Linked DNA regions of Oryctolagus cuniculus. The protein of the gene in region 2 interacts with the protein of the main gene of each other region in a biochemical or structural test. Links are inferred from orthologs where the notes say so. Each region holds a gene or a part of one and is shown on either strand. Other genes may lie near its edges.

What was found.
Region 1: the proteins of RPS6KA3 (region 2) and PEA15 form a complex in vitro, tested with the Homo sapiens proteins (2 studies listed by BioGRID). The link is inferred for Oryctolagus cuniculus from reciprocal best matches to the Homo sapiens genes RPS6KA3 and PEA15.

The regions. Positions count from the first base shown.
Region 1 is NC_091438.1:38,715,634-38,719,452, forward strand, and holds part of PEA15 (astrocytic phosphoprotein PEA-15), read right to left. Parts: intron 775-3,819; 5' UTR 773-774; coding exon 601-772; intron 1-600. UniProt on the Homo sapiens protein: Blocks Ras-mediated inhibition of integrin activation and modulates the ERK MAP kinase cascade. Inhibits RPS6KA3 activities by retaining it in the cytoplasm. Inhibits both TNFRSF6- and TNFRSF1A-mediated CASP8 activity and apoptosis.
Region 2 is NC_091453.1:6,234,508-6,238,326, forward strand, and holds part of RPS6KA3 (ribosomal protein S6 kinase alpha-3), read right to left. Parts: intron 1,385-3,819; coding exon 1,296-1,384; intron 1,119-1,295; coding exon 1,054-1,118; intron 980-1,053; coding exon 877-979; intron 476-876; coding exon 351-475; intron 1-350. UniProt on the Homo sapiens protein: Serine/threonine-protein kinase that acts downstream of ERK (MAPK1/ERK2 and MAPK3/ERK1) signaling and mediates mitogenic and stress-induced activation of the transcription factors CREB1, ETV1/ER81 and NR4A1/NUR77, regulates translation through RPS6 and EIF4B phosphorylation, and mediates cellular proliferation, survival, and differentiation by modulating mTOR signaling and repressing pro-apoptotic function of BAD and DAPK1.

The DNA.
Region 1 (3,819 bases), on a different chromosome or scaffold from region 2:
GCAGACTAGTATATCTGAAGGGCCCTGAGGTCACTCTCCTATCAACTACCCTGTCATTCAAGGCCCTCCACAATAGTCTTGACTTACCTGTCCAGCCACTTCTAAATATGCTTTTCCAAATGCACCAAAAGCTCTCCCACGTCTGCAACTGTGCTCCTCTGCCTAGCATGTCCTCTTTAGGATCCTGCCTTAGAAATCCCACTTGGCCTTTCACCAATTCCTCTCCAGAGTCCCTCACTGTGTAGGAGTCTAATCCACAGACCTCCCCCTACAGTAGTAGTCTCTAAAAGTGCGTAAGAAAATGTTAGTAATGTGGTTTTCTTTTAGATTTTACTACTTTTCACTTTTATGTTCCATGATATATATGTGATAATAGCCACAGAGTATCTGAATAACATTTTTTCTTACTGACAAGAGGCATAATGAAAAATGTCTAAAGACCACTGCTCTAGAGCCCCTTTTACTGTCTTTGAGCATCTGTTATTCTGCCTTGTCATGAAGTGGTATGCCTTGTGTCGATAACTTTGAGTTCTTCTCTGTATGCTGAATGAATGGAGCCTGACTTGCTGATGACTGGCCCTGTGTGCCCCCCTCCCCCACCTTTGTCCAGCTTGTTGTGACTCTCCAGGAAGCTAAACCAGGCACTGCCAGTAGTGATCTCCTCACTCTTCTCACTGGGGATGTCCTCCTTGCAGGCTGATTTGAGCTGTTCCAGATCTTCAAGGGTGATGTTGTTGGTCAGGTCCTGGAGGAGCGTCCCGTACTCGGCCATGACTGGGGTTGGGAGACAAGAAAGGGAACAGAGGAGGCTGAGCTTAAGGTACAGGGTTTGGTTCACTCCCTTGTACTCCCCACTTTCCAGTAGAGACCAGGCATGTGCCTAGAACAGGAGGTAGAGGGGGAATGGGGCTGGAGGGGAGGTGGTGGGAGTAGCAGGAAGAAACTTAGAAGCTAGGAGCCAGGCTGAAATCTAGAGTGACAAGTCATACCTCTTTTCCTCCACCATCTTTTTCTTCTATTTCCCCCTCTAACAGTAACCCTGGCAACTGCTCCCCTGACTGAGGAGGCGGTTACCATGGCAGCCTGCTCCCGACTTTCTCGCTGCTGTCTCCAAGCCCCCCCCCCAGAATCGCCCCACCCACTTGCAACCCCTCCCCCTCATCAGAAAAGAAAGCCAAAACATTCAAAAACAAGGACTAGTGAGAAGCTTGCTGTGGCAGTGAGGGGCTGGAAGGGAGCTGGAAGGTTTGGTTGAAGCTCATGTGTTCTCATTCTTTCCCAGAAGCAAAGGGGTCCCTCACTTCAACTCCCCACCACCCCACTAATGACTCATTTTGGATGGATGCCTCATTGCCTGGTCTGACAGTTCTTGGACCCTCCCATGCTTAGCCTTGTATTCAGTCATTAGGGCCAGGGCAGCGGAGAGAAGCAAAGGGCCACCCCCACCTTTATGCAGTTCATTTTCTGCCTTGACGGTTACTGAGTCCCCCCACTCAGCGCTCTCTCCTAGTCTTTGTGCTGTGCCTGCAGCCCCCGCGCCCAAGAATACCAAGCGGCTGGCTCTGGCCCCCTGCCCAGTTCCCAGGATGGCTGGTGGCAGGGGGAGGGGAGTTTAGATGTGGCTTTGGGAGTCTGGCAGGAAGGGGTTGCTACCCCTTCTTGCAACAACATCCTCCTGGCACTACCTTCAGCATGACCTCCCAGAGGGGGGCTAGACAAGGCCAGAGCTCATCTAGGCCTTTACTCTATCCCTCTTTCTTGATCCTAGGTGAGAAAGTACAGAACATTCAACCTTCCTTTTAGGAACTGTAGCTAAAACAGGAAGAAGGGTGGACCCCAGAGTGAACTTTCTGGATTTGATAAAATATAAAACTAGTAGCAAACTCAAAAAGGGCCTTAATGTCTCCAGTTAGTATATATTTCTTTTATAATTAGAAAATAAAGCATTAAAAAAATCAGACCATGCCACAAACAGTCCGTGGCTAGACCAAGGGGTAGGTACAAGGTAAATGACCTTACCACACTGAAGCTGCCCACAAATCATCCCAGCATTGGGCTGGGAAGGTGGCAGATCAAAGTGGGCTGGTTGATAGCCCCCCAACCCCCCTCATTTTCATCATTCTAGCCTCTACTTGCAGGAGAACAGAGGCAGAGAGGCATGGCTATCACACAATAAGAGGTGTGGACCCAGAAGTCCCCATTCCCAGCCCCCTGCCTGGACCAGAATAAACAAACCTCCCTTGGTGGCAGGCACCGTAACACAAACAGACAATAAGCTAGACAGCAGGGCTGGCAAAACCCTCACAAGAAACAGGCAGTCATAGGCACGCTCACTTGCACACCCAGGTGCAGCCAGACAGAAGGGCCCAGCGGTGGCCCTGCCCTGCCAGGCCGGGCCAGGAACAATGCTCTCTGACTGTCAGCACCAGGAACCATCTCCGCCTTGAAATCTAGGTCACAGCGGCAGGCGCTGGAGCCCAACCCCCCTCCTGATAATCCGAGAGCAGAAAAAGGGGTTGTAAGGGAGGGGGGTAGGGAAAGGGGTCTAGCAATGCCTATCAGGCTGGGGGATAGAGAGAGCTGAAAGAGAAAGGGTGGCATGGGAAGGCAACAAGAAGACCCTGCCCTGGTGGAGGAGACGCAGGGACTAAGCTGTCTAGAAAGAAAGGGCAGAATTTAGGGTCACACTGCTCTCTTCTCACATGGAAGAGGAGTTTGTAAATATGAGAGATCCTGTGGGAGGAGAGAGTGAGAGAGAGTGTGTGTGTGTGTGTGTATGTGAGAATCTCTTGGGAGGAGTTAAAATGTAGGGCTCTGAATCTAAAAGATCTACAAGGGAGGTGGGCGGGAAGGGATCAGTGTGTGTAACACACCTACCCACAAAGGCTGGGGGCAGTAGGTAAGAGCTTTCTAAGAGTGAGGCAGGTACAAGGAGGTCCCCAAGAGAGGTGGGGAGTGGAAATGTTAAAAGTGGCAGGGGAGAACTGTGTGCCAGGATCCCATGTATGGGTGCTGATCCCCGGGTGTGGGTCCAGGAGCAGGGAGGAGGCTGTGGGTGTGTTTGGATGTTCTGGTTAAGGGAGGCGTATGTGTCGGCACTGCATGTGTGGCTGTGAGTGTACGTGGGATGTGTTTGTGTGTGAACCAGAGGAGAGTATGTGTAAGAAGGTATATAACCATAGGCTTACATCCAGAGGGATGCGGGCAGAGCCTACAGAATGGAGGAAGGGAGCTGGGGTTGAGAGAGGTAGAGACTGAGGCTGCAAATACTTGGGGGGGGGGGGTTGGGGGGCAGAGCGAGGGGATGAAGAGAGGGAGCACACAGAGTCCGCAGCAAGAAGGCTGCAGCCTCAGCTCAGCTGTTACTATAGCAACGTCAGTTCTGGATGCCCCCCCCCCCCCCCCGCAGTCATCAGGACAATAACACCACTGGATGGGAGGGGTATGGGGAGTGGTGAGTAAGAAGGGACAGAAAGGATAGAAATAGGGCCCCCTGAGGGAGCAAGGAAAAGCATTCTGGTTACTTCCTTCTCTGGAGAGATTCCATTTGTCCAGGCCTGGGTGTGGTAGCAGGGATAAGAGCAGAAGAGTTTAGGGGGAATTTTGGGGATATGGACAGGTGGAATATCCTTCCCTGGCTCTCAAGTCTCACGGATCAACTACTGTCCCTGGACTGGGCTGGCCATGGTGGGACTTGGCAGAACTTGGCTCCCCCAGCCTCCATGTCACGCTCCTCACCAGAGATTCAGAAGACTTCAGGGCCTGTGAGGAAGCCTTCTGCCTCCCCAGCTCTGAAAAGCCACCCTGATCTCTGAAGCA
Region 2 (3,819 bases):
GCTGCTCCACTTCCGATCTAGCTCTCTGCAATGGCCTAGAAGAGGAGTGCAAAATGGCCCAAGTCCTTCGGCCCCTGCCCCTGCATGGGAGACCCGGAAGAAGCTCCTGGCTTTGGATTAGTGCAGCTCTGGCCATTGCGGCCATCTGGAGAGTGAACCAAAGGATGGAAGACCTTTCTCTCTCTTCCTCTTTGTAACTCTGACTTTCAAATAAATAAATAAATATTTTTTTAAAAAAGAGTAATATTGATACAAAGTGTATTTTAAGCTGTCCAGCTCATGAAATATATTTATACAATGAACTGTACCTCATAACATTTAAAATTTAAAATTATTAGACACGCACTCACCTGAACAATTGAATGTACACCAACTGTCTGCATTGCTTGGCTTTCATCGTCTGAGGTAATAGCAACAAAACTAAACCCCCGAAAGAGCTGGTGTGCATTAGCACTAGGTGGAATGCCAGGTGAATCTGAAAAGAGCAAAAAATTTTATGAAGATTCCTTTGAAAGGTAATTATATACCGACTGCAGTCCAGGATATCTCAGTACTGTATTGGATATGATCTGATCACTTATTGCCACAACAATTCTAACTTCGCTCCCTCAGGGACTAGAAAACAGCCAATTCATTTGAGGAATATAATAAATATTGTTACTGGGTTAATGGTATTCAAACATTAACCCTATCCCATCAAACTTCCTAGAATGAAGGAAATTGTCTTTATCTGTGCTGTCCAATATGGTAGCCACTATACACATGTCAATACTGAGCATTTCAAATATGCCTAGTGATCTTGGAAAACATTTTCTGATCAACAAGACAAACATGTATTCATTGTCTTATATTTGGGTTTTCATGTTTTCTCTTTACCTTTGGGAGTTTTTGCAGTAAATTCAGGATCAAAATAGAATGTATCTTCAGGCCTACCAGTTGCAGGTTTAAAAGGTGGATGAATTTCTCTCCTATATAGTTTCTGGAGAGAAAAGAGAGACTTAGACATGTGTTAATTATAAAAATATTTCAAGCAAAGTTCCATTCCATACTTACATTCCAGTCTATTGTTGAGAAAAATGAATGTCTCTTAATCTCTTCAACTCCATCTGGTCCTGCGCCTATCAAAAATTGATTGGGAATTTTTATTTCAAGGATAAATGTATGTGAAAACACTGCACAGAGTTTTACTACTTGTTTGAACATTTAACAATCTCATCACAAAAACAAATATCTATCACCCACCCCTCAACAAAAAAAATCAAAACATGAAAGAAAAAATTAATTAAAATTTTTACCTAATCTGTTGGCTGGATTTCGTTTGAAAAGCATTCGTAAAAGACTCTGGGCTTCAGGACTCAAAAACTGTGGCATCCCAAGTTTGGCTCTAAATAACAAATCCATATAACAAAGTTTCATTTTTTGGAGGTGTATGTATTTTTATTTTTAAATGCTTTGAATTAAATCTTCTGAGATACCTGTAGATAGCCCCAGTTGTATTTGCCATTTGCGTGTATGTATTTAGTTCTAAGCCATTTTTAAAAAAAAGATTTATTTATTTGAAGGCAGCTACAGAGAGAGGGAGAGATAGAGATTGATCCTCCATCACCCTTCATTACCCAAATGGCTGCAATGGCAGGCTGGGCCAAGCCAAAGCCAGGAGCCCAGAATTTCTCGTCTCCCACTTGGGTGGCAGGGGCCCAAGTATTTGGGCCATCTTCCATGGTCTTCCCAGGCACATTGGCAGGGAGCTGGATTGGAAGTGGAGCAGCCAGGACTCATCATATCTGTGCTCATATGGATTGCTGGTGTCACAGGTAGTGGCTCAGCTCATGGTATCACAATGCTGGCCCCAAGTTCTAAGCCATTTCATCACACACATACCGGCTCTTCTATGCAAGTATCACAGTTTATTCAGAAATCTGCCTATTGAAGGATATCTGGATTGTGTCTGGTTTTGGGCTATCATGAATAAAGCTGCTATGAATATTCCTGTACAGGCTTTTGTTTGAGCACACTATTTCAGTCCATAATCTAATGAACTTTTTCATTTTTCAGCTTTCTGCAAAGAGCACTACTGTGAAAGTAAGATCATCTGAGTCTTAGCTCTTAGTTCTATTATTAAGAACTTTGTGACCTTTGGAAAGTCAATCCTTTTTGGCCTGTAGCCACTGCTTCATAAGGGGACTGGATGCTATGCTAATGGCTCCCAAGCTGTAGCCTTGGAACCCCTTTCTAAAGGGAATTTAAGCAATCCAATATTTACAGCTCGTAAGAGAACATGTGCTTCATCTTCTCATTCCCCTTCCTATTTCCTTTCGTAGTTCCTGAGGGAAGGGCAACTGGTGGGAGAAGGGTTTGTGGGACATTTGAGACTCTGACACACAGTCTGAAAACCAGTGGCCTGGATGAGCTTGAAGGCCTCTTTTAGCTGCAATATATAATTTTACTCTTTTCCTAACCTACAAATTAAAGAAACCAAGGATCCTGTAAGTATGACAATAATAACAGAGCTGCTGAAGGTTCCTATTTCAGAAATGGATTCACTTATTATTCAGTGAGCTGTTTCTGTGCTCCTACACTACTTAGTGCTTAGGATGATTCCCGTGGTCAGGGGAAGGTGGATATAGATAGCTCTAGTACAATGAGAGACAAATTCAGAGAAAAATGCGGCAAAAGTGTCAGGGGGTGATAGGGGTTATCTAATTTAACATGAGAGATCATGACAGGATTTAAATATAATGCAAAAGTTGAAATTGAACATTTATTTACTTGGCCAGCACTTTCTAAAATTTTACTGAATAACATTAATCCTTCTAGATAAATATTTCATGAGCTTATCAATTTATAGACTGTTATCTATTCTAATCCTTGTTGTAGACAGGAAATAAAATATGCTGCATATAAAAGGCCAAAAAAAGCAGACCCCCCCCAAAAATGTATTTTCTAAACATGTGCTTGCAGTACCTCTTTTTTAGACAACACTTATTAACACTTCGTAGAATTTAGGGTTCTGCTGAACAAAACTGGGGAAACACTACTATATTAAGTAACAGGAATGTAGCAGAAGTCTTGAAACAGGGGACTAACATCACCAAACTGATTTTCAAGAAGGTAATTCCATGGTTGTTGAGAGCAATCTGGAAGGTTAGGTGGTTTGGGTAAGAGGTCACCATGGCCTGAGCAGTTAGCAGTACAATGAGGAAGAAGGGCTAGAACACTGAAACAGTTCTGGATAGGATTTGGAGAGTACCTGGATATACAAGAGTGAGGATGAAATCAAGAATGATGTCCAGATTTCTGGATTGGGATAGAGGGTATACAGAAATGCTGCTAATTGGTGGTTCAAAAAGAGGAAAAGAACATCAAAGTGAGATCAATTGAAAGATGTGAAGTCATGCATGCTGTGTGTTTTGGGACAGTTAGGCAGGCAGGTGGGTAATGGGAAGTGCAGGTCTGGTGCCTGTAGATGGAAGAAAGAATACATGTAACCTTGAAGACAGAACATTTAAAAGGTGAAAAGGAACAATTTGGGCATGAAAAATAATAAACACAAACATATTCACATTGATCACTAAATTCCATGAGTTCATCACAAAAAAAAAAAAAAGAAAAAAGGCAAAACTAAATTAAAAACCTAACTCACTGGACATTGCATTCAATGGGAATAACTAGGGCCCAAACGATCAGAATTAACTAAGAAAAGGTTAAAAAGTATTTGTTCTAATTTTCTTTTAACTTGAACTTTATTTCAAGTTAACTAAAAAGACCTGTTGATGAAGGCAAGTTCATTGTCTCAGAAAAATAACTGCTATTTTAATT